5 linked regions of the Danio rerio genome follow. The main gene of each other region encodes a partner of the protein of the gene in region 5 in a complex. Links are inferred from orthologs where the notes say so. Each region holds a gene or a part of one and is shown on either strand. Other genes may lie near its edges.

Region 1 (5,114 bases), on a different chromosome or scaffold from region 5:
CTTCTTTAAATTAATGTGATCATTTAAACTTTTGCAAATATGTTTTTTTTTTAATTGGAAAATGTATTCCTTTTTGTATGACTATGTTGAAAATACAAAACGTCTCTTGTATTGTCAAAAGTATGAGAAAGTGCTTTTATTACAGGGATTCATATATGTTTTCATATGAAGAGTTCAGATGCTATAATCTCTAAGTGCAATCTGAAATTTCGTTTAAACTAGGCATTTTTCCAAGACTCCTATATTTATGTTCTCTAATTTAACAATAAAGGTAATAAAAATAACATATTGACAAAAAAGAGAAATTACTCAACTTAAACACAGTAGCCTGAGAAAAATTTATAATTTTAGGAGAAAATTTCAGATGGCACTTAGAGGTTTTTGCATCTGAACTCTTTGTCTATTTTTAAACATTTCAATAAAAAATATCAACATCTCCTTGTTAAGTGTGAGGTCATGCAAAGTTGCTTCCAGGTCCAACTGCTTTATCAAACTGTATGGGAAGGCTCAACAAATGGAAATAATAAACGTTTACAAAGCGATGTAATACTTTCAAAAATCACGATAGTAATATAAATATCCATGCCTAATAACCGGTGGCCAGAAAGTGATAAATTTTTATAAATAGTTATAATATTGGTGTCTGTGATGTAGCAAGCCCAGAGACTATTGTGTACATCATGATTTTATATAAAATCAACTCTAATGTGTGATGTAAAATGGTCATGAACAAATATTTGCTCGATTCAAATGAGAAGCGGCTTAGACCCAGAAACAGTACTCCATACGTCACGACTTAACAAGCAGACAGTGAGACCAAAACATAACTCACTAAGTTAATAATACATTTAGACAACAATATAAAGCGAAAAAAAAAAACAATATAATTACATTTAAAGAAGTTTATTTACTGTAGCGCATTGTTTATAATTTATTATTACAAAATAAATGGATACAAATTATAGTATTGATCAACTTTAGGCATTTATTGTGATTGTTTTGAATTGTTTGCTAATCACTTTTTAAATTATTCACACACACTCTTTTTTTTTACGCCTAATACTTTCAAAAAATCTAAACCTTGTATCATCACATTCATTGATTTATAACCTGAACTATGTAAATAGTACCACATTTTCAATTTAAAATGACTATATTTGGGGAAAAAAAGTTGAAAATAGTTACCACTGGATATTAATTTCAGCCATTTACCACTTATAAATAGTTGTAAAATATGAAATGCCTCTTTTTAAGCAATAGAGCATTTCCGGATGGAATTAGCTCTCTGCCTTTGCAAACTATTATTCTGTGGTTATTATTTAAAGAGTGTCTATTACTATTATTATTACATATAAAAGCCTTTTTGTATGCTTTATTTATGTAAATTATGCAGTTTCCAGGAATATAATGTTGGCTTTGTAACTCACCGCATCAAACTGAAAGAAAAAGTCATCTGGTTTGCTCTCCACTGGTTCAGTGTCTGCCTTTACTTCCACCATGGGGTTGAGGAACTGAGCTCTCTCCAGAGAGGCCTGAGCATGGTTCTGACCATCTGCATCCACAGGAATCAAGAACTGAGCGCGCCTGGACTCTTCAGTCACCTGATCGATGGAAGTCATAAGAATTTTTTTTGCCAAGTTATATTTCTATTAATGTGCTCATAATTCAATTTTATTGCATTTCTTTTAGGGCGTCAAAGTGGCGCAGTGGGTAGCACGATCGCCTCACAGCAAGAAGATTGCTGGTTCGAGCCTCGGGGGGTCAGTTGGCACTTAGCATGCGCTACAGGGGAATTGGGTAAGCGAAATTGTCCGTAGTGTATGTGCCTGAATGAGTGTTGGTGTTTCCCAGTAATGGGCTGCAGCTGGAAGGGCATCCGCTGTGTAAAACATATGCTGGATAAGTTGGCTGTTCAATCCGCTGTGGCGACTCTAGATTAATAAAGGGACTAACCCAAAAAGAAAATGAATGGATGTATCTCCTTTCCATTCAATAAAGATGTCTGATGAGTGCAATGCTAATATGCTAGACAGCACTTTATTTGATACCTGCTCATGGTCCAGGAGGGTCAGTCCTTTGACTCCAGCCAAAATAAGATTCTTTGCTACTTCTGCTCCAAGACCTCGCAGACCAACAAGAAGTACTCGTGATCCCCTCAGTCTGAAAATGCAGTTATGTTTGTTAATTACTGTACTGGTCAAATGTTTGGAAACATGGTGATTTATATGTTGTTAATAAAGCCTCTCTTGCTCACCATGAGTGAATTTATGTGCTAAAAATTAAGTTAAAAAAGACCATCATTATTAAATTGCAGTCTAAGGTGTCACACTATGCTTTAGAAATCAACTGTATATTATGTATAACTGTATGAACAGTTACTTAGTGCCACTTTGTAGAGACTGTGACCTAAGAGCATTCAAATGTGTAATGTTTGTGCATTTATTTCAGAAATTCACATAACATATTAGATACTAGAAAACTTATTTTTACATCGTGTAATACAATATGTGTTCACCTTTATGCGCATGTTGTGAGCATGAGAGACTATTATATAACATTTAAAATAATGAAGATTTAAAACATTTGACAAGTACTAAACACGTACATAACATTAATTCATTATTATGTTGGCAATATACAACCAGTAAGTTACGAACATTGTTTTCACGCATTGTATTTCAGACGACTGTGAAAGATGGATTAATCACAATAATTAATTACATTTAACCCAACTTATAATTTATGTTTTTTGCACACACAAACAATCATCTAAAAACAAGATCCATAAAATATGATTAAGTTTTGTTTTTTTGCTCGAAACCTTTATCCACGAACCTCTTTTGAGCATCGAGACCCCACAGGCGAATCTGGCGATCATATTGTGCAGCTTCCTCCTCACTAATAATAGTGTCTTCTTTTTCGATGGTATCGATCATCTCGGAATATTTGTATTTCTGATGATAAGCTGTAATCAATTAACTACGGGTTAGTTGGACTATTCTACGCTCTATTTTTTCTATTGCCCATTCAATGGGACAAAAGTGCCGCTTAGTGAAACTCGTAAAGGCGCGCAATGATGACGCAGGAGATGTGTGCCAGAATCAGAGCTCGACAATGGACATTTATCAGGGATCCTTTATACATCTAGCGAGCGTTAAATGTGTCACCAAAATATGTCATGTACATATGATGAATTTAATTTTTAATAATGCATAATTTTATGAGCAAAGGTCCGTTCATGGTGTTAATTTAACTTAAAATTTCTGTCCAGATATGAGTGAAAATGGTGCATTTTACTATTTTATAATAGTCTACTTGCAAAGAAATGGAAAAAAGAAAATTAGTACTTTTTATTTTAAGAGACATTAAATAATAAAGAGTATAAATAATATAGAGTCTTCTTTATTTTTAAAAATATTCTCAAAGGATTTGACAAATCATTTGACAATCATTATAAGATTTTCATTCATTCATTTTCTTTTTAGCTTAGTCCCTTTATTAATCTGGGGTCGCCACAGCAGAATGAACCGCCAACTTATCCAGCATATATTTTACGCAGCGGATGACCTTCCAGCTGCAACCCATCACTGGCAAAATAAGATTTTAATTTCAAACAAAATGTAATAGTATAATTTACAATAATAATGGTTTTAAGCAAACATAAACGTGACAGAATTATATTTATTGGAGTGTAGATCACTATTAATAGCATTAAATGATTGTTTTCTAGATCTGTGCTTGCAAAATAGAATCAAATAAAAAGTTGAGTTGTATAAAACTGATACTTTAGAGTTATTATATTCAATTATATATATATATATATATATATATATATATATATATATATATATATATATACATATATATATACATATATATATATATATATATATATATATATATATATATATATATATATATATATATATATATATATATATATATATATATATATATATATATAGGTCCAGAATAGGTATTGAAACATATGATACCAAAGATAATGCAATGTTGATATATTTTAACTGCAAGGCCCCTTTTTTGATAAAACAGTAATAATACAATGAATAATGATAATAATAATGATGATGATAATAATAATAAATACTGATAAAAATAACGTTTTATATTAAGATATTATGTGCATGATTACAGTTAATATATACTATTTTAACTATTACATTACCCTTAGAGTAAAAAAAAAAGTGTTTTTTTTTCATGACCCGATCGGTCATTTCCGTGACAGTCGACGTCACGTAAGTCCGCCCATTCTCTTCGGAGAAGAAGCGTCGCCATTTTAAGAGAATGAGTTTCATTTCACATCGCAACTGTAGGACGGAGAACCTCAGGAACGTTTTCAACCTGTTTCTCTTTTAAACTGTTAGGGGGGAATTGACTACAATGAACTGAATCTCTTCCTAATGCCAATCAACAAGTAGATCAAAGTCAAGTAACGCATAAGACAGTTGATTTTTTGCACTGAATGTAGTACGTTAGAGGAAATGGCTGTGGAAAGCATGACTGTCCATCCAAACTCCCCAACAGCCAACCACGAACACAACAGCCTTCTCACTGACGAAAGGTCGAGTAATATCATCATATTTCTATCCAACTATTGATTTGTCCTTTGCTTTTTTCCAAAAACAAAAAGCACGGGCATTTGCTTTTTTTCTTTCAAAGGGATTAAAGTCGCCTTTTCTGGGAAACGTACAGAGGTAACGAAACGCCATCTTGAAACGTTACACAGCGCAATCTGGAAGGTCACAAGCGAATCAGGAAAACATTCAGAATATGATCAAATTGACATTTTCAGTCACTTTCTAATGTTTTTTTAGTGATCGAAGACCATGGGGCCACCCCTACGTCAAAACATTGATCCTGTAACAGTGTTTTCATCACAGATAAAGAACAGATGGACAAAAGAAATCACAAGCTAATTTTTTTTTGTTATAGACCTAAAATTAAACTCCGACTTATTACCACAACGCAAACCGTATGTTATGTGGTAAAACTGATCCCTTTTTACGCATTAAGGAATTTGTTTATCCATCGCGAGGCCTGGACCGAGCTAAAGCTAGCAGTGCTAACAGTTAGCCAACAGTTTAGCAACAAAA
Region 2 (5,159 bases), on a different chromosome or scaffold from region 5:
TCTTTCACAGTTAGGGTTTAGTTTTATTCACAATTAATTATACTCCACAATTAAAATCTCAACTCAACATTGGAGATCCTGCGATGTGACTATTGCAGATTCATACATTGCAATACTGATGCTGAAACAATATATTCTTCAGCCCTAATCATAACTATATATAAAAATAAAAATAATTACACAACATTTTATTCATGTTTTAATCTTAAAATGATTTTTAAAAATGAAGAATATTTCAGATTACCTAAATATGAAATTGTATAATATAATTGTATTAATATATATTTGTAACAGCAAAAAGCTTGTCCTGTTCATCGAAATGTATCTTTTTAATTACTAAAATGTAATTCAACCATTAAAACTGAAAACGTTTTTAAATTAAAATGGGAAAAAAGACATTTTGAGTTATAAAATAGGGGATTTCTGGGCAATGTTTTTTTTCCTTTAAAAAAAAATATTCAGTTTTGATGGCCAAATAAGCTTTCAGTAATCAAAAGTTTGTAACAGTTTCACTTTACTCCAATGAAAAAGGAATGTAAAGGTTAAAATGAAAAGGAGTTATATGGCCTTAATATGAACAACATTTAAATGTCAAATCAATTTTTAAGTGAAACTGAAACTAGCAGGATGTAAGAAATGTACAAGGGACAAGGTGATATTTTTGGGTGTATTTTACAGAACAGCATATCCAAGAGCATGGTTTATCTATCATGACATCAACACAATAGGTATGCGTTTTAAATATTTAATATTTATGTATTCTGCTTGTCTGTACATACTTGAGCACTGAGCATTGAATTGATCAAGACAGTCAAAATCCAAACTGGTGTTTCAAAATCAGCATTTACCTGGAAAACAATAATATCAACAATGTCATTTTTGGGACAAACGCTTAAACGCATAACCCTTTAACTCCCCAACCAAGAATAGTTTTGGAATTCCATTTCTTAACTCCCAATGTCGATAGTTAACACGTTTAATGAATTTTTGTCAACACATCCCATAATTTCTAAAATATCAACCTCTACCAAATGGTTAATATGTTGGTTTATTTACAGTAAACGTACCTGGAATAAATACATATACTGTAATATGAAAAATCTGAAAACATGAACTGTATAAGACCAATGTATTAAAAAATAAATAAAAAATTCAAAATAAAACATTTTTGAACACTAAATCATCTTTACTTTTTGAAGTATGTCATAAATTACCTCAGATTCTACTTTAATACGATTTCTGGTTGAGTTTGCTTTACAATAAAACCAAAATCAAATGTAGACGTGCAACAGGATTATATTTGCTTAATTTTTTTTTGTAAACCAACAATGCCGTGTGTGTAACCATTATTTAAATTGAGGTAAAGCTGGTGATATATTTGCACATTCATTCATTTAACGATCTCTAAATTGTTTACCACACTACTTTTAATATTAGGTCTGAAATTGCATTTACGTATGACTTCAAAACAACATAAGCACCATTTTATTGACTGTGAACAATGTTCTACATTGATAGTCATCGGCTGCTAATATAATTTCTCCATTTAGAATTTGCAAATACTTTTATGAGATTATATTAAGGAGAAAGTCCAAATGTGGAAATAGAAAAACTTCATCTACAGCTGAGGTCAGAATAATTAGCCCCCCTTTGATATATATATATATATATATATATATATATATATATATATATATATATATATATATATATTTTTTTTTTTTTTTTTTTTTTAATATATTTCCCAAATTATGTTTAACAGAGCAAGGAAATTTTCACAGTATGCCAGATAATACTTTTTCTTCAGGAGAAAGTCTTATTTGTTTTATTTCGGCTAGCATAAAAGCAGTTATCTAGTCAAATAATATTTACTGTCATCATGGCAAAGATAAAATAAATCAGTTATTAGAAATGTGTTATTAAAACTATTATGATTAGAAATGTGTTGAAAAAACCTGCTCTCTGTTAAACAGAAATTGGAGGAAAAAAATAAACAGAGGACTAATAATTTAGGGGGGCTAATAATTCTGACTTAAACTGTATATAATTTCTGTCAAATTTGTAATTAACATTAATTACTGTAAAATGAACAAGCTCTAATTCCATAGATGAAGTGAACAATATCACATTAAGTGTTTTCTCCCCATTGAAATCCAAGTAAGGAATAAGATAAGCTTAACACGGCTTAATGTTCCTTAACAATAAGCAGTTAGGCTTTTTTTCTCATAACAGACTTAAATAGGGGAGAAAACACTTAATGTGAAATTATTCACTCTGTTCACTTTATCTATGGAATAGAGTTTATTTGACGTAAATTATGACAGATATGTGGGTTTCTCTGGTTGTTGTTGTTGTTCTGATATACTAAGCCACGTTTAAAATGTCCCTATTTTTCTGAATTGAAGAGAAAACATTACATAGTTAAACGAAATACTATAATTAAATATCTAACCAGAATTTTAAAGACAGGAATCTTAAAATCGTAGCCAAATGCTACTTCATATTGCTAGCTTTCGATCATGTGATAATGTGACACAACTATGATGATTCACACACAACAAACTCGGTTAACTAGTACTTATGATTCGTCACCATCTTGATAAAAAGAATTATCAGACATTAAACAAAACCACACAAGACGTATAACATGTATCTATATCCAATAATATGCCTCCACATCCGTCTCCTATAACACAATAACAATACGAGTGAATTTGAGCGGTAACTATGTTTATGATGTCTTTTGACTGACTTAATACCATATCAACCAGATTTAACTGGATGTGTCAATGAGATTTTCACACTGTTTACACTTAACATAAATATAAATGTAATAATTTCAGTTATTTTGCCTTTTGGTTTGAAGACTGTAGCTCTTTAATTCGGACATGCCATACAGACTCCTTCCGTTTATTTGTTAAAAGCATTAAAACGACGATAGCTAAGGTGTAATTTCATATTTGTCAGTTTCCTCACAACCTTCGCAAACGCTTCGTGATTATGTTTAAAATAAAGTCTTATTCGAAGTCGATCAATAATAGACAAAAAACACGAACTTACGCGCTCGGATCCTGAAACTCGGCGCTGGATCTTTGTACAGCTCAACATGCGGCGCGCTGGTTCGCTGACGGTCAGTATACTGATCGCTGATTGGGTGAATGCTTTGCTTTTCTTCTGCGATCTGTTTGCTACGCTAATCATTTAGATGCGTATCAGCGCCTCGTAGGGAACTGGAGACTCTAGAATAAACTGATTGTACAGTTCTTCAGATAACAATAACATGATGTGGTAATGAAGCAAATTTAATTTCTTAGCGCTAGCAGGTGCTCATCTAGTGTTTTGCTTCTCCAGAAACAAAACTGATACTTATCAGGGAGCCACTAGTAGTGTGAGGGTTGAATTCTACAATTATTATGTGCTGGCTACCTGAGAGTAAAAGAAAATAAAGAAAACAGGCAATAAAAATCTCTATTATTTTTCCAAACACCAGACCAGAGGCCTACATTTTGAAGAAAATTAAATAAAATAACAAATTAAATAAATAAGCTGAATTATTAATTGTTAACTGTATTAACCCTTTGATGCACAAGCTATAAAATAGATATAGAAAAAATAAGCAGAGACAGGTCACTTTAGACCCATTTAGTGCATCAAAGGGTTAATAATGAGTTGATTATTAATTAGAAATAATTAATCAATTTATAGAGCAATGTTTTTCAAAGATTTATTTTATATAAAGTAGGCCTTAATAGCATATCATAAAAAGCACAATCAACAGATTAACCTTTTAAAAATGTATTTAAAATACATTTCAAAATTAAATAAAAATACAAAATCCCAAGGGTGACACAGTGACCACAGAGTGGTGGAAAGAGTACTGAAAAATCATAAGTAAAAGTACCATTACTTGCCTAAAAATGTAGAGCAAGTAGAGTAAAAGTATAGCTGTTGTAAATATTACTTAAAGTATGAGTAAAAAGTACCTCCTATATGCAATTTGACAATAAAAGACAAGACAAAGAAAAAATAAAGTAGTAACTGCAGGTTGAAGGAAAGTGGTGGCGTAAACGTACAGATAAAGCACTAAACATGTACTCAAGGGAAAGTGAAAGTACACATTTATAAAACTACTTAGTAAATTACAATTCCTGAGAAAAAATACTCAAATACAATAATTTGAGTATTTGTAGTTAGTTACTTTACACCACTAGTGCTTAGCACTGTCGCCTCACAGCAAGAAGGTTGAGTGCCAGCTGGGTCAGTTGACATTTCCAAAGATAACATGCTCCAGTTTCTCACATAGTCCAAAGACATTCGCTATAGGTGAATTGAATAAACTAAATTGGCTGTAGTGTATGTGTGTGAATAAGTGTATGGGTGGTTCCCAGTACTGGGTTGCATCTAGAAGGGCATCCCCTGTGTAAAACATATGCTAGATAAGTTCCTGGTTCATTCCACTGTGGCGACCCCTGATGAATAAAAGGACTAAACCGAAGGAAAATGGATGAATAAATGTTTTGGAGGCATGTTTTGGAGTTCAAAGTCTAATGTAAGAAATGTTTTATTACTAAGTGCATGCATGGTTTAATTATAAGCACAACAGGAGAACAATAGTAGAATGCACTTTTGGAACTGGTATTGGATCATTGTTGGCACTTTGAAAAGGAAATGTTGGCAATGCCGGCAGTTAGCTCTCTGCGACTCTCACATGGTCGCCTACTGAAGCTAAACAGGGCTGCACTCGGTCAGTACCTGGATGGGAGACCACATGTGAAAGCTAGGTTGTTGTCAGAAGTTTTGTTGATGAGACCCAACCTGTGGTCTGTGTGGGTCCTTATGCCCCAGTATAGTGACAGGGACTCTGTACTGCTCAGTGAGTGCCATCTTTTGGTTGAGATGTTAAACCAGGGTCCAGACTCTCTGTGGTTGTTAAAAATCCCAGGAAGTCCTTTGAAAAAGGGAAGGGTTTAACCTAAATCTGCCCACTGGCCTTTGTCTATCATGGCCTCCCAACAATCCCCATGTCATAATTGGCTTCATCATTCTGTCTCCTCTTCACCAATCAGCTGGTTTGTTGTGTGCGGTCTGGTGCAATAAGGCTGCCGTCGTGTCATCCAGGTGGATGCTGCACACTGGTGGTGGATGAGGAGATTCCCCCA
Region 3 (5,115 bases), on a different chromosome or scaffold from region 5:
ACTCCTTTACCTAAACCCAATCTCATGATTGCAAAACTAAGGCCATGTCTACACTAATCCGGATAAATTTGAAAACGGAGTTTTCCTCTAAAAACGCTTCACGCCCACACTGACGTTTCTATTAGTTTTCCAAAACTTTGTCATCCACACTGAAACGACTACCAATGCTTTTAACCTGTACTGCGCATGCGTGAAACGTAAGACGCTTCGTCAAGCGTCATTTCCGGCTGACGTTTATTTTCTTTCCGGCTCTTTGAAACGTTGCTGCAAAATGTCAAGGAAAAGCACATAGTTTTTTAAATGGACTGACAATGAAGTAGAGTTGCTGCTTCGAGTAACACATGAATACAAAGTTGCAAAAGAGAGTGGAAATGTAGACTGGGAGACGTGCCAAAACAAATACGCCGATATACTGGACCGCTTTAAAGAACAGTATCCTGCTGATGACGCTGCTTACCCTCACAGTAAGGACGACATCACTAAAATCATAATCACAACGAAAATAAAGTAAACGAATTAGTAACATGACTGAGTGTCACATGACAAAAAACGCGTCATCGTTTTCGAAAGACTCCGTTTTCACAGTCTACACTACGACACGAAAAAGTCTTTTTCAAATTTATCCACTTTGGAGAGCGTTTTCAAAAAGATACGTTTTTGTTTCCTAAAAACACGTCTCAGTGTGGATGGAAGGGCAAAACGGAGACAAAAATATGCGTTTTCAAATGAAACGCATTAGTGTGGACATGGCCTAAATTTTCAGCATCATTACTGCAGACTTCAGTCTTATAAGAAAAATAAGCAGATTTGATGCAACAAAAAAAAAACATCAATTTATTTTTATATATTATATACTACCATCAATGTTGAAACCAGCTTGTGCTAATATTTGTGGAATGTTTTTTTTTTTCAAAAGATGTTCAAAAGAACAGCAGCTTAAAATGTGAATTTTTCATTTAATTGAAATTGTCATTACAATCGCTTTTGATCTATAAAAATAAAAAAAAACTCATTGACCCAAAACTTTTTAATAATTGCAAAACCACCAAAACTAAAGTCAGTTGCTAAACTTTAAAGTTATAATGTGAATGCATTGATTTTTTTTATTTATTTTTTTGCTGTGTTGTTGTTTATTTCACCAAGCATGTGACAATTACCTAGACTTGATGGTTTGATCAAGACATCTAAAACATCGTAAAACGGTAAGGACTTCATCTGCACATCCGGATGGACGGGGGCCATTAGTGTCGTGGGCTGCTGCATGTTCATCATGGGCTTTGACTCATGAAACACAGGTGAATCACAGCTCTCCCGGCGCTGCTGCAGGACGTCTGAATGGTCGGTTGGCAGAGTAAGATCTGAGCTTACAGCCGTGGCACCGCTGTCCAGATGAATGAAGGATTTAATGCTTGACTTTAGTGCCGCCAAATCTTGAAGACCTTCAAATGTCCTTGGATATCTCCGCCGATACAGTTCTTTGATTTTGATCTGCACTGCAGAACTACAACCACTCCTCAGTAGATGCAGAGCCCTCAGCAAAAGTTCATGCTTGCGACCGCTCTTATTCCTTCCAGCAAAACCTAACAGTACTTGGAGCTCTGAGACACGGAAACTTGATACCATATTCTGAAAAATAAATCCAGACAAGGCAACAAAAAAAAAAAAGAAACACCACACATTAGTAAGAATACATTTGCCACAGGTTAGTAAATATAACCACCCTCTATGCCATTTTGTGTACTTTTACAACTTTTGTTTTAAGATTTTAGCAAGACATAAACCTTTGCATCAAAATCAACATGGCATAAGCTTGTGGAAAATGGTTATGACAGTTTTTTTTAAACCAAAAAGTGTCATTTAATTAGTAACCAGATTAATTAACAAAGAATTATGTGTGAAGTGAGGTGACAGCCCACCCAAAAAACACCCTTTCAAGAAACCCCAAAGAAATAAGAAAATCTCAACTGACCCTTCATTACACGGTCCATGCTTGATTGTTCTTACGTGTTAATCCTTTTTTCTTTAATAATCCTTAACAAATGACCGAAATGCATCTAAAATGTTGAGAATAATTCCAAGACCCATTAGATGAACATCGAGAACATGACAAAGAACAAAACAGATGTTCACGTTGATCTCAAGAGAAATCAACAGAACTGCTGGCGGGAAACTTGGTTTACAGCAAATCTGGACAATTCTGAACACTTTACAGGACAGCATGAATCAGTCAGTTATGTAATGACAGATATAACAGCAAGTGTCTAACATTAACGTATCCAGTACACACAGTATACCTTTCTTATGGCATGGTTAACGTTTGTTGGAGCTGAATACGTTCAATTTCAGAAAAGTGATGTATGCATCACACTACTAAAGTGCTTATGTTGAGGAAAATATGAAACAGAAGTCAAGTTTGTTTTGTTTGCCGCAAACTATTTACAGTTAGAGCTTGTAAACAACATTCTCAGTGTGTATATTTTCCATTGTTTAACTTAGCAATTATGATATAAAACGCACGTTCACTTTCATTTACACGCACAAAGAGACTCTGGACACGCTGGATTAAACATATGTCTCCCTTGCAAACACTTCTAATAAATCAAGCATCACCTGTGTGTAAGTTACATGTAAACAATGTCAATAGCTGCCGGACGCTAACGTTAGCTAACAAAAGACCAGCCAAAACAAGTCGAGCAGTGAAGAACGTAAAAACTTTTTACCTGAAGCGAACAGTCGTCAAGTTCAGTTAGGCATTATAATAAAGCGTTTTCATGCAGTCAATGGTGGCAATAAAAGCAGTGGCATTTTGAGGCTGATCTTCAACGTTTGTGTAGCATCTCGAGAGCTAAACGAGTAGCGGGTTGGTGGCTAACAGGCTAACCATAACCCGAATAACGGAGGGATGTCGCGTTTCTCTTTTAACTATGAAGAAACTAACGCATCAAAGGCCAACGGACGGGCATAATAGCATAACATAACGTCAACTGCAAAATGCCTTCAGCATGTGAAAGACGCAAAGAAGTAGCCAGCTATCATTGCACTTTCGCCTACCCGTAACTCCTCAATATCCGCCATTTTCTGGCTGCGCTCATCCTGGCTAGTCCGGAGATGTCGAGTCACGTGACACAGGCTGGTTAAAGGGGTCACGTCGTTCATTTGTGCATTTTTATTTTCTTCTGAGGTTCCCTGATTTGCTTTTCCCCTTACCCATATTTTGGGAATAGTTTCCGTTATTCAGTAATCAACCACAGAATCCTTCGCTGTGAACGAAATTATAATTATTTTTCCACAAGGAGGAGATCATTTAGCCATCGAAAAGTAAAATCCTGTTAATCAGTTCAAATTGTTTATAAACATTTTAGTTCAATGTTATGTTTGTTAATTAGTCTTTTTGGGTGGCAATGTTATCTGCAATAATCTAATCCTAAATATCGCAGATATATTGGAAGCGTTTTTACTTGCATTGTGTGATTCCTGTACTCTCTTTCGCCACTAGAAATGTGTTTTGAAACTGTTTTTCTGAGAGTATGTCCTCATGTAAGCTCTAATGTGATTCCAACAAACCTTTTAGCACCAAGGCAAATAAGATGAAGTAAAAAAGCTGTACAGCATAGATGGGTCTCAAACTCAGTTCTTGGAGGGTCGCCTGCAGCTCTGCACAGTTTTGCTCCAACCATAATCAAACATGGCTTATTCAACTAATTAAGGTATTCAAGACTACTAGAGAGGTGTGAGTTGGAGGTGGTTGAAACTAAACTATGCAGAGCTGTGGCTCTCCAGGAATTAAGTTTGAGACCATTTAGTTTATGCTAGTGGTGTTCCACCAGGGGGCAGCAAAATTCTAAGGGGGCCTCATTCATTCATTCATTCATTCATTTTCTTCTTGGCTTTTAGTCCCTTTATTAATCAAGGGTCACCACAGTGGAATAAACCGCCAAATTATCCAGCATATGTTTTACACAGCGGAAACACCCATACACACTGACATTCCCACCCACACAAACACTATGGCCAATTTAGTTCATTCAATACACCTATAGCATGTCTTTGGACAGTGGGGGAAAGGAGAGCACCCAGTGTAAAACCACACGAACATGGGGAGAACATGCAAACTCCACACAGAATTGCCATCTGACCCAGCTGAGGCTCGAACCAGCGACATTCTTGCTGTGAGGAGACAGTGCTAACCACTGAGCCACCGTGTCACTCTAAGGGAGCCTTGAGAATTTAAAATGGTTAAATAAAAACTTTTTTATAATCCACACATTAACAACTGTTTATGTTGTCTTTGTAGATGTTGGAAATCATTAAAAATATCTAAAATATATATATTATGTTTTAGTATACAGCTTATGATTATAGTAGTGTATAGTTGTATACACTATATACATAACTATACCAAGCCCCATTTAACTGATTAACATGTTAAACAACTGAAAGTCATCCAAATGTTGTAAATGAAGTCTTGGAGCCAAAACTTTGAGAACCATTAAGGAACTGTAATGAATTTTGTCTCACGATTAAGTGTTTTTATAGTGTGAACATACCAATTTAGCTTTTCAGGATGACAGTTACAGTCTGTTGTCCAGCAGATGGAGCTCAGAGCTAATCTACCATCACCAGATTATTGACTGAGGGTTTTCGTTCCTGATCAGACCTCTGTTTAACCCAATGCTTACATTTCATATTCTCATTTACAAATTAGAACAGTTATTAATATGCCCTTATTACTACTGAAATAAAAAATAAATACATAAATGAATAAAATCTCTCCCTGTTAAACAACACATGGGAAATATTTTTTAAATAATTAAAATTTGACAGGCTAATAATTAACACACGTTACAAAATGTCAATTAAAAATGACATCTCAAATATAATACTACTACTACTACTACTACTACTACTAATAATAATAATAATAATAATAATGAAAATATTTATTTTTATTTATTCTTCTACGGGACTGTAGACTACCTGGATCACTGTGGTGCATTCTACAAGATAAATATAAAATTAATACAGGCAGCATCTGCGACTGCTTGAGTTTGTGACCTCCACATTGTTGACTGCAACCTCCACAGTTTTGACTGCAATCCGATGTTTTTGTTTTGC
Region 4 (5,170 bases), about 1.8 Mb from region 5:
ACTTTATTTGGACTTTGACACATTATTTATTATTTTCTTATTTTTATTTGTTCATTGTAAGTGGTGTTGTTTATAGTAACTGAAAATATATTATTTGGAAAAAGTCAAATTTGCTTCACTGTTCTATTATTTTGTAACATTTGTAACATACCGTATACCGCGAAACCGTCAAACCGTGGTATTGTTTTAGACGATTATCATACCGTGAAAAATTCATACCGTTACAACCCTACGGTGTTGTATCGAAATCTGACTCCCCACTTGCGTGCACGCACGTTACACAGCGACTGCAGCTGTCACAGCGGTTTATCAGAAACCTTTTATCAATCATTTCTTTTGCAATTGACAGTAAGAACGAACATAGAAGCCTTGTCAAATTGACAACCAGCACCTGAATGTGTTTAAAAGAATTAAAAACGCCAAAATTTGACAAATTTATTTACGGATTATGAGGTCAGTACTAATTACACAACAGTCTCATTTTAACATTTACATTATAACACTTAGCTCTGCGTTCTGGTGTTATAATGACTGTTTACATGTCTATGCTTAACCAGCATTTCATCACAGTACTCTAAAATTATTTAGTTACTTCTCATATATCTATAGTCTGTTCGTTTTCATGTCCTCATTTAATAAAACATGTTTAGTCAAAACAAAAGAAAAAGTGCAGGATTTTGTACATGGAGTGAAAGACTTATCTTTAGATATCTTCGATATGTGCACTGTTCAATAATTGTGCACAATACAGACATGTAAATGTGTAACTAAAAAAAACATATACAGCTGATTTAATTGTCGTTTATAAATCACAACTATGGTTTGCAGAATTTCTTATAACACTGTAATTGTGATAAAATACTGTGCGTTTCATATTTACATTCAATGTGGTTCTTTTTTATCCTACAATACTTTTTGTTTTGTTACTATTTAAGTGGGTTCCTTTTTTGCTCTGACAATGTTCTCTATGGTTCTGTTTACTTTGTTATTTGCACAACAGCACAGAAGTGCTGAGTTCAGTGTTAAGCAGGAAAAAAACGCACTGTATTTATCAAAGATTTTTTTTTATAACTTGAAATGTTTTGCAACTTATAGTTTTAAGCAGGAGAAAAAACTGAACTGTAATTTATTTATCAAAGATTTTGTGCAGCTGTTTATTTGTAAACAGGGAGGGAACCCTCTGTGGTTGAATTATATTTTGCTCAAAAATTGTTTAACAAAGGCTTTAACTCTCAAGTTACCATTTATGGCAAAATACCAGATATATAATCGTATACCGTCATTCCTCCTAAAAGTACCGAGGTATGATTTTTTTTGCCCATATCATCCAGCCCTAATATGTACAAAACTATTAATAAGCCAAACCACGCTGACTGGATGATTTGCAGCTCTGCTAGCTCAGACGAGTGCTACAGAGATCACACAGTATTTTCAGCGCATCAGTGTTTTCAAAGCAAATATTTGAAGATATTTTTCAGACTGAAAGAGAAAGTTGTTGTCACAGAACCAGGTGTTTGATTGTTTTTACCCTCTTCTTTTCACATAAGTCATATTTTAATAATTTGCTTATTATTATTTAAAAATGTTCAAGATTATCTCTTCTAAAGTGTATCACGCTGATACTTATAATAATTAATTATACAAATAATATTAATTATTCACCTTCATAATCATGTTTAACTCTTGTCTCTATCTATCTAGTAATTTTATAATCAGTATTTTATGCCAGCGTACAGTTCTCTGGACCAGAGAGCCCATTGACCACCTCTGTACACAATGCTCTCACTTAGGAAAGGCTTACCTCTCTAGCGATCTCAGTCCCCAGTGAAGTAGTTTTTTCAGCAGGGGACATTGTAAATGTGTAAAGCTTATGCCAAAAAAAAAAAAAAAAAAGATATGCAACCGTTTCTTTTTTTATTTAAATGTAAAATCCCAGCAGTCACAGCTTTAGTTTGTTTTTATTAACGAGTCTTCTTCTTTAGTTAGTATTATTCTTTTATTTTTTTATTTTTGGAATTTGATTCTAAAATAGCAATATAGTTATGGCAAAAAATATATATTATTTTGCAAAAAATGTGCAGCATTTAAGAAAAAAATAAAAAGGCTCTTCACCTTAAATTTGTTTAAAATTATTTTGTTAAAAAATCGTGACTAAATCGTGAGATTAGTATCGTGAATCAGGAGTCAGGTGAATCGTTACATCCCTATTTTCCATATCACAACATCTACAGCAGTATATTACAGATTTTCCAACATTGTGCATTTCCATTTTTATTTATATTTAAAACATTTACCATGTCTTGCTCTTTTGACTTCTGGGTATTCTGACACCCCATCAGTGGAGTAGACGCTGAAACACATAAAAAGATAAACATGTTATAAAAAGGAATAATCTTTATAAATAAAACACAACATAAATTAACGTTAGGCTCACTAGGAAAAAAAACTGACACTAAAACAATAATTTATTTTAAAATCACGAATGTTTACACATTTACACAAAAGCATATTATAATAAATATTGTCAAATCAAAAGTCTAGTTAATGCTACAGCAATCTAAAAAAAATAATTTACATTATCTTTATAGTGTAACATTAATTTAATTGTGATTGTTTGCTGTCAATCAAGCGTCTATTGATTAATTGTTTACACTGGACTGATTCCTGACCCTGAAGTCAAATGCTAATAAGCTACACTTGCTATTGTTCAGGTAACTTACAATAACAAACCACAGACTGGCACATGTCTATGCAAGGCACTGTGTAATAAACACAAAAGCACAAATTTTCATTCAGACATAAAGAAAAAGACGAATACCTCTGATAGTTGCGTTTGGCGGGCCTGCTGTTCTCCTGCCGCTGAGTGTCTGTGGCCGCGGCTCGCGCTTTACCGTTTGCGCGCTCACTAGGCCAGTCTTCGGATTTCTCAGCAGAAAGAGGCAGGAACAGCGACGATAATACGTCAGCTATCCATTCATACATTACAAACCACCACGAAGAATAAGACTCTGTTTCGTTTGTTGGGGCCAGGTCTATAGTGGAGATCCCGCAACCGAAAATTCAAGCCACTCGTGTTTCAATAGCCTTCCGTAGCCGTGCTCTGCGTCACTGATTTGTCAACTGCGACACCATGGCACTGTTTATCGGTCAAGCCCTCCCACTCTGCACTCCGCCCGGAGATTAAAGTTCCTTTACACCACGGTTTAGCGCTAGGGAGTTTGTCTTTTCGAAAAGTTATTATTAAAATGGCACAAGCTAAATAAAAACACACACTTTAATTACTTACATTTTATCCATTTAAATTCCACTCTATGTACGCCGATTTAGAACTTTTTCATCTTGTGAAGGCAAATCGGGCAACCAATCACAGGCGGCACTGGGCGTCACGTGACTCAGAAAGGCAGAAATGCTTAGTGGTTGTGCTGTTTTCTTTCACATGTTCTATGTCAAAAAACCTTTAACAGCACAGAAGGCGTTTCGTCATTACCTGATATGACGTAACTCCATATTTATGGCGTTCAGCTTTGTGTTGCGCAAGACGATACTGTACTGCAGCTTTAAATATAGCATGGCAAAACAGTCACTGCCCTTACATTTTTACTTTTAAAAGTAGTTTTAAAGAAAGAAAACACATCTGAATATCTTTTAAATATATATATATATATATATATATATATATATATATATATATATATATATATATATATATATATATATATATATATATATATATATATATATATGCTATTCCGAAAAACAAACAAAACCCTAAATAAAATAATGTTATATTTTTCAAAAATACTATATAAACTATTTTAAAACTATTAACATAACTACATAAATGAAGACTGAAGTAATTAAGCTGAAAAATCATTTTTAACATCACTGGAATAAACTATTAAATTAAATTATAAACAACGTTTGAACAGCTATTTTATAGTGCAATAACATTTCACAATTTTACAGTTTTTACTGTATTTTTGATTAAACAAATGCAGCTTTGGTAAACAGGATCAGCTTATTTTAAAACCAAAACTTTTGTCCGGTAGTGTGTATATGATTATAAAAACATCATTACATGTGTGCTTGAAAACATCATTGTTTCTATACATGTAATTACAGTACTAATGAAATCTGTCAAATACTTAAACAATAATTGTAAAGGAGAAGAGTAGAAAAATAAAATGCTTTTGTTCAAAAACACAATTTATGTCGATGTAAATTCTGTCTTTGGGAACGTGGGATCTGTCTGCAATGTGGCTTGAGAAAACAAAGAAGCAAATGAGATACTGGGAGCTTTCTTAAATTGTATTTATGTATATGAAACACATTTATTTTTTAGATGAATTTACCAAAATAACTTACAAATGAGAATAGAAACAATCAGAACGACACAAAGATGTCAATTAAAGTTGTAAGTGATGCGTTAAGTCCCAGTCTAACACAATGTTTCTTTAAATAAATAATAATATCTATACATACTGTATGTGTGTGTGTGTGTATATATGTATATATATAGGGATCAAATTACACAGTAAAACAGCAGAGTTCCACACAATTCCTTCATGTTGTCCCAATACAAATCGATTAAGCTACCATAATTGTTTTTGCAAATTGAAGTGGATTGAACATAAAGCAATGAAGTTGTCCTAAAAACAACTAAAATGTGTTAATTTAGCTCATTTTAAATAAGTAGTTTAAACAAAAAAGCTAAAACTTTGTTTTAATGTAGGAGGATTAGGGATCAAAAGCAAAGAAGAGGCAGAGTTTAACATCATTGTCCAGTTGGAATCCTGGGATTCACCGCATCAGTTCCCATACTACAAGAAAAATCAAGACAGAAATTAGTTAGCTTAACGCTAAACTGAACATTTTCTGAAAAGAGGCGCAAAATACCCATTACTGAAGATAAGGCATCTCTGTATGAAACCTTCACTATTATGACTAAATATGCAGCTATGGAAAAAAATTAAACCACTTGAAAATCAAGTTTATCTGAATTTAAAAACCATTGTTTATGATATTTCTACCTTTTTTGCATAAAAGAAAACAAAAGTTTCATGTTTTCAGTCAGGTTTAAATAAATTTCTGGACAAAACAATATATCAATGCTTCAGATGATTGAAGAAATGTATAAAGAAATCTATGTTTGGTGGAATAATCCTGATCA
Region 5 (5,146 bases):
TAAAAATGACAAACAGCGGTGTGTAATGAAAATACAAGACTTGAATTCATTCAGTTGTTCTAAACTTCTCAAATCGTTTTGTTTAAAGCAAATTCTGATATTGTCTTTGTGCATTTTCTAGAATAATGGTGCTGTTCACAAAACCATCGCCAACCAACTAAGATCACAATTTCCTTCATTACAAAAATAGTTCAGCAATTCAGTGTTATTCCAAATATACATCCATACATCTTATAGCAAACATTCACAAACAGCATCACACACTTGGTTGGTTGGAGCTACACCTCTAGAGCTGTAGTTAGATGCAGAGTTCCAGGCTGTGTTCTATTCTGAATCATCCACCCTATGCCCTTGTCCATTTGAACACAAATACTCTGAATCATTTAAAAACATTAAAGGTTGTCTTGTTCACATTTTATATTAAAGTTATTCTTATTACAGTTCAGTTTATAAACTTCAAATTGACAACTGTGCTATCTCCATAGTGCACTCCCATAACATTTATGCCATTTTAAACGCAGCAGTGACTCGTGAAGAAAGCTACATTTACAATCAAAAACCTGTTTACACACTTCCAGCAACTGTTAAAACAAACATTTAAGGTAATGATTTTAACTTGTATAGAAAATTGATCTCTAATATACTGTAAAAATGCTATGGTCCACACATTTCTTTTACATGGCCCATCATAAATTGATTAAACTTAATTTTTTTTCATAAATTTAAGTGGGCTTAACTTAAAACAATTAAGTTGTCCTCAAGAACACAAGTTTCAGCTAATTATATATAAGTACTTTGAACAAGCCGCAAAAGTCTTTTTTTTTAGTGTATATGATATATGCAACATTTCTGCAGTGGTTTGAGTGTTTATAAAACTGTAATAGTAATTTATTTAAATACAAAAATATACTTTTGTAAAATGTAATTTCTGAAACATGTAACTTTATAAGCAACAGATAAATATAAATATATTTTTTACATCTTTGACCATATACATATATATATATATATATATATATATATATATATATATATTTCAGAATTAGATTGCATGTCATTATATAATGGGTTTATGTTTTATTTATAATAGCAGAGAGTATGATATGGAATATTGTCAATAATATTTGTAAAAGAAAGTAAATACTTGTGTCGTTGCGTTTCATTTAAGAAAGCAGAGATAAAGAAAAGCCGAGGCAAGCAAACTAAATGTTTATTACCAAAACTCATAATGGGTAAAAATATATATATATATCCTGTGTGTAACAATATTTTCTGTACCAAAACTAAAAGCATCTATTAATGTGAATTTCCTCTTAATAAATTGTTACTCCACCCCCTTTAGATGATCATTACAGACGTTTTATGTTTTAACTAACATGGTTCAAATAATTGATCTGAAAGAGAGAATAAACTGTCCAGGGGTCTCATTTATAAACATGGTATACACAAAATTGGGGGTGGAAACACGTGTACGCCACTTCTTATACAGGTTATTATGATCTATAAAAAACAAACTTGACGGGAGAATGTGCGCAGCTTTAAGTAAACACATTTCGCTTAAATATTGACTTAATTCAAGCACTTTAAATCATCATAAAAGCCATAATAATTAATAAATAAATAAAAATGTATTCTGGTGTACATTCACTTTTAGGAAAGTTTCTATGCAATGTTTTATAAATGAGACCTCAGGAACCTTAACTGAAACATACACAACTATTTAAACATTGTTTTTTGTTTCGGCAATGACGCATTAATTTGATCACAGTTAAGATTTTTACAGTGTTAGTGTATTTCTATTTGTAACAATACTCACAATAATACAGATTTTATGCATTTTTGATTGAATAAAAGTAGCATTAGTGCGTTTTTTAAAAATCCTACCCACCCCCCAAAACCTCTGAATGGTAGTGTAGATTTATCGTTATCCCTCATAAATGGAAAAACTGACTCACCTGTCTCTGACTGTAGGATTCCTTCAGCTTCTTTAAATGTGTCGTCATCTTCACTTTAAAGTGAATTTCACTGTTGTCCTGCGAAATGAAAGGAAATCATCAAATCTGTTCAGATCTTTTCATATATCTCATTATAAAAGAACAGCTGGATTGGTTTTAAACAGTAATGGGTTTAAATATGAAAACCTGCATTTCCTAGAAAACAAGTGCTTTTGCTCACCTGACCGATCACTTTGAGTTTAATGTACTCTCCATCCTTCTTCTCGCCTCCATCACTTGAGGGCTTGGTCTCCTATTAAAACAAAACAAGCATTCGATTACTGCATGTCATATTGTTTTTTTATCAGATTTAATGTAATGAATTAAAAAAATATCTTGGGACTGAATTCAATAAAATATTGACTGAAGATCGTATAAAATAAGGTAGATCCGATTTTAATAAATTATAATTATATATATATATATATATATATATATATATATATATATATATATATATATATATATATATTATATATAAAATAATATTGTGAGTGTTGTTATCATTTAAACACTAGGCTGTGTGTGTGTGTGTGTGTGCTTTGAATGTAAACACACAACCTAACGTTACTCTTCTATCGCGAGCTGTTAATACGAGCACAAACCGAACACAAACTAACGTGAACAAATAACGAATAATCCTAATGAACATATCAAAAAATCAACAATTAATAACTAATTCAAATGTTCAGCATGGTCTATCAGCTCAAGATATTATGAACTCTGCTTTCAGGGCCCAGAGCAGCTAACTAGCACACATGCTAATTGGACGATTTGAGGAAGAAATTCACATATTTTTGGCATTTGTGAACACAGTAAATTGGACTAATGTGTAAATTGCGAGAACCAGAAACTATGCACAGTTAAAAACACTCAAGCATTTTTATCAAAAATACTTTCCAAACCACAGTCAGCTAGACAGGCTAAAAGCTGGGCCCTCTTATTTTCATTTTCTATAAGTCCGTCTTTCTCGTCTGCTCTCATGAAAGTTCGATTCAGCATCACAGGTTTAGACTCACCGTGTCTGACATGATATTCCGCAATGTGCAGCCCTTCTGTAGATCAAGATTGTTTGATTTAAACGATACAGTGTTATGTACAGTAATGAGAGGTTTTGATAGTGCTACCAGCAGACCCACAACACAGCGCCGTTGACGTCATTGGAAAGGGGCTGGACTTTCTATGACACTGGGTCGATGACCCAACGAGCGTTGTTTTTCTCACCACGCTCTTTCTGATTGGCTCCAATCGCCATCTGCGATGTTGCTATTGGTAAAACATAGGGAGGCCCGTATTTTGCAAAAAAAAAAAAAAAAAAAACACATCAGTATTTTGGTCACGAAATATTAGAGTGCAAAAATAATGTGACAACTACACTACACCTCTGGAGGACGAAACCTGCAAAAGCAACAAATAAATAAATACGCAAATAAATAAATTAATTAACACATGTACAAATTCCTTCATAAATAAAACAGTAAATAAATACGCAAATAAATAAATAAATAAATGACTAAATATATACACAAGTTCCTACATAAATAAAATAATTAATAAATAACTACACGAATAAATGAATAAATACTCAAATCCCTGTGTAAATAAAACAATAAATAAATAAATACACAAAAAATAAATAAATACAAATTCTTGCATAAATAAAACAATAAATAAATAAATACACAAATAAATTAATAAATAAATAGACAAATTCCTGCATAAATAAAACAATAAATAAACATGCTAAATAAATAAACAAATGTACAAAATAAATACACAAATTAAAAAGATAAAAAATAAAAAGCAATGAATAAATAAAGTAAATAAATAAAGCAATAAATAAATAAAACAATAAATTAATATGCAAATAAAAAATCAATTAGTTAATAAATTCGCAAATTCCTGCATAAATAAAACAATAAATCGTTTATTTTATGTATTTATAACTTTTAATGCCATAGATTTTAAAAAAGACATTAAGACTAATTCAGTGGATCAAAGGTAATATAAAAAATCTGTATAATGTTACTGAACATTTTATTTCAAATACAGTTTCTTCTGAGAATTTTAGAAAGCTGAATGTATTGTGTATTTAACAGAAATATCAAGCAGAATTATTATTAATCATAGAGCACCAAGTAAAATTGACCATAACAAATTCTGAACTCTCATTGGAATATTAAACATATTTACATACAACAATACAGATATTTAAAATTGAAATAATATTTCATATTATAATTGTTTATTCATCTTTTTGTCTAAAACATTTAAATATCTTTTTTTTTTACAAAACTTTTGTTTAGTATATTATTATTATCATCATCATCATCATCATCATCATCATCATCATCATCATCATCATCATCATCATCATCCTCATTATTTGGAATATGACATTATCCAAAATATTGTCTCTACACACTTTGAATATAAAACTCGAAAACTGAAAATCAACACGAGGTGATGGTGCATGAAAATGAGGCTGAGACTACTGCACATGCGCACATTTCACTGGCAGTATTGCGCATGCTCGTCCTGTCCCATGTGCGCCTCGTGGAGAGAGCGACTTCTTGTAGCGGAAGGCTCTCGGTCTCGGGAGCTCGACCTTAAACTTTATTCAGAGCAAGAAAAGCTGTTTCAAAAATGTTAGTGTTATTTGAAACTGCCGCCGGCTATGCCATTTTTAAGGTAAGCTCATTTTTTTGTGTTAATTAAATGTATTTGTAGCCGTTTTCTTGCAGTTGTGTAGCTTTTACGGTTACACTTAGCTAGCCGGCGAAGTTAGCAGTGCTGTCCGAGACTTTCAAAAAGACAAAACGTACAATCTAAGGATTTTTATTAATGCAAATGCTGTTAGTACATATGTAATTTTGTAGCTCACTCGTTTTTCCCCAGTGCGGTGTGTCAATGAGGGTAAAGCGGGTCTCATGTGGCCTGCTCTGCAGCACAGCCACGTTGTGTCTTCAGCGCTTTTTCTACACTCACTGTTAGTCGAGTTTGGACTGTTTTTAAAGTAGTCAAGATGATAAAATATAATTTAGTAGTTGCAAAACAGATGCAACAAATGTATTTACATATTTAATTAAATCTTATGAAGATATTTACTGTTTAAATGCACCTCGCCACTATAGCTCATGTTTCCACATGGT

Evidence for each region. Proteins that work in one complex are often made in the same cells at the same time.
Region 1: the proteins of sumo1 (region 5) and sae1 are in contact, whole or in part, in a crystal structure (PDB 3KYD), measured with the Homo sapiens proteins. The link is inferred for Danio rerio from reciprocal best matches to the Homo sapiens genes SUMO1 and SAE1. Residues at the interface, in NP_001005781.1 of Homo sapiens: Asp30, Ser31, Ser32, Glu33, Ile34, His35; in NP_005491.1 of Homo sapiens: Thr179, Lys180, Val181, Ala182, Lys183.
Region 2: the proteins of sumo1 (region 5) and daxx are in contact, whole or in part, in an NMR structure (PDB 2KQS), measured with the Homo sapiens proteins. The link is inferred for Danio rerio from reciprocal best matches to the Homo sapiens genes SUMO1 and DAXX. Residues at the interface, in NP_001005781.1 of Homo sapiens: Lys17, Glu18, Tyr21, Ser32, Ile34, Phe36, Lys37, Val38, Lys39, Thr41, Thr42, His43, Lys46, Leu47, Ser50, Tyr51, Arg54, Gln55; in NP_001135441.1 of Homo sapiens: Glu731, Glu732, Ile733, Ile734, Val735, Leu736, Asp738, Ser739, Asp740.
Region 3: the proteins of sumo1 (region 5) and pias2 are in contact, whole or in part, in an NMR structure (PDB 2ASQ), measured with the Homo sapiens proteins. The link is inferred for Danio rerio from reciprocal best matches to the Homo sapiens genes SUMO1 and PIAS2. Residues at the interface, in NP_001005781.1 of Homo sapiens: Tyr21, Lys23, Val26, Glu33, Ile34, His35, Phe36, Lys37, Val38, Lys39, Thr42, Lys46, Leu47, Ser50, Tyr51, Gln53, Arg54; in NP_004662.2 of Homo sapiens: Lys466, Val467, Asp468, Val469, Ile470, Asp471, Leu472, Thr473, Ile474, Glu475, Asp479.
Region 4: the proteins of sumo1 (region 5) and senp2 are in contact, whole or in part, in a crystal structure (PDB 1TGZ), measured with the Homo sapiens proteins. The link is inferred for Danio rerio from reciprocal best matches to the Homo sapiens genes SUMO1 and SENP2. Residues at the interface, in NP_001005781.1 of Homo sapiens: Asn60, Arg63, Leu65, Glu67, Gly68, Gln69, Arg70, Ala72, His75, Glu89, Tyr91, Gln92, Glu93, Gln94, Thr95, Gly96, Gly97; in NP_067640.2 of Homo sapiens: Asp386, Lys394, Leu395, Arg396, Trp410, Leu411, Asn412, Asp413, Glu414, Thr440, Phe441, Pro444, Lys445, Arg456, Trp457, His474, Val477, His478, Trp479, Met497, Gln542, Gly545, Ser546, Asp547, Cys548, Gly549.

The regions. Positions count from the first base shown.
Region 1 is NC_133190.1:26,187,538-26,192,651, reverse strand, and holds the start of sae1 (SUMO-activating enzyme subunit 1), read right to left. Parts: upstream 3,111-5,114; 5' UTR 2,937-3,110; coding exon 2,836-2,936; intron 2,161-2,835; coding exon 2,049-2,160; intron 1,602-2,048; coding exon 1,428-1,601; intron 1-1,427. Other genes in the region: zc3h4 (zinc finger CCCH domain-containing protein 4), read left to right, coding at 4,503-4,582. UniProt on the Homo sapiens protein: The heterodimer acts as an E1 ligase for SUMO1, SUMO2, SUMO3, and probably SUMO4. It mediates ATP-dependent activation of SUMO proteins followed by formation of a thioester bond between a SUMO protein and a conserved active site cysteine residue on UBA2/SAE2.
Region 2 is NC_133194.1:8,084,549-8,089,707, forward strand, and holds the start of daxx (death domain-associated protein 6), read right to left. Parts: upstream 3,111-5,159; 5' UTR 3,109-3,110; coding exon of another isoform or gene 3,061-3,108; 5' UTR 3,045-3,060; exon of another isoform or gene 2,928-3,044; coding exon of another isoform or gene 2,853-2,927; intron 849-2,852; coding exon of another isoform or gene 780-848; intron 1-779. UniProt on the Homo sapiens protein: Transcription corepressor known to repress transcriptional potential of several sumoylated transcription factors. Down-regulates basal and activated transcription.
Region 3 is NC_133180.1:42,367,772-42,372,886, reverse strand, and holds the start of pias2 (E3 SUMO-protein ligase PIAS2), read right to left. Parts: upstream 3,111-5,115; 5' UTR 3,076-3,110; coding exon 3,052-3,075; exon of another isoform or gene 2,721-3,051; intron 2,055-2,720; exon of another isoform or gene 1,970-2,054; intron 1,627-1,969; coding exon 1,158-1,626; intron 1-1,157. UniProt on the Homo sapiens protein: Functions as an E3-type small ubiquitin-like modifier (SUMO) ligase, stabilizing the interaction between UBE2I and the substrate, and as a SUMO-tethering factor.
Region 4 is NC_133181.1:12,354,975-12,360,144, reverse strand, and holds the start of senp2 (sentrin-specific protease 2), read right to left. Parts: upstream 3,111-5,170; 5' UTR 2,983-3,110; coding exon 2,819-2,982; intron 2,351-2,818; coding exon 2,295-2,350; intron 1-2,294. Other genes in the region: zgc:112416 (uncharacterized protein C21orf58 homolog), read right to left, coding at 4,775-4,820. UniProt on the Homo sapiens protein: Protease that catalyzes two essential functions in the SUMO pathway.
Region 5 is NC_133181.1:10,602,596-10,607,741, reverse strand, and holds the start of sumo1 (small ubiquitin-related modifier 1), read right to left. Parts: upstream 3,128-5,146; 5' UTR 3,026-3,127; coding exon 3,014-3,025; intron 2,248-3,013; coding exon 2,176-2,247; intron 2,034-2,175; coding exon 1,956-2,033; intron 1-1,955. Other genes in the region: nop58 (nucleolar protein 58), read left to right, coding at 4,641-4,685. UniProt on the Homo sapiens protein: Ubiquitin-like protein that can be covalently attached to proteins as a monomer or a lysine-linked polymer.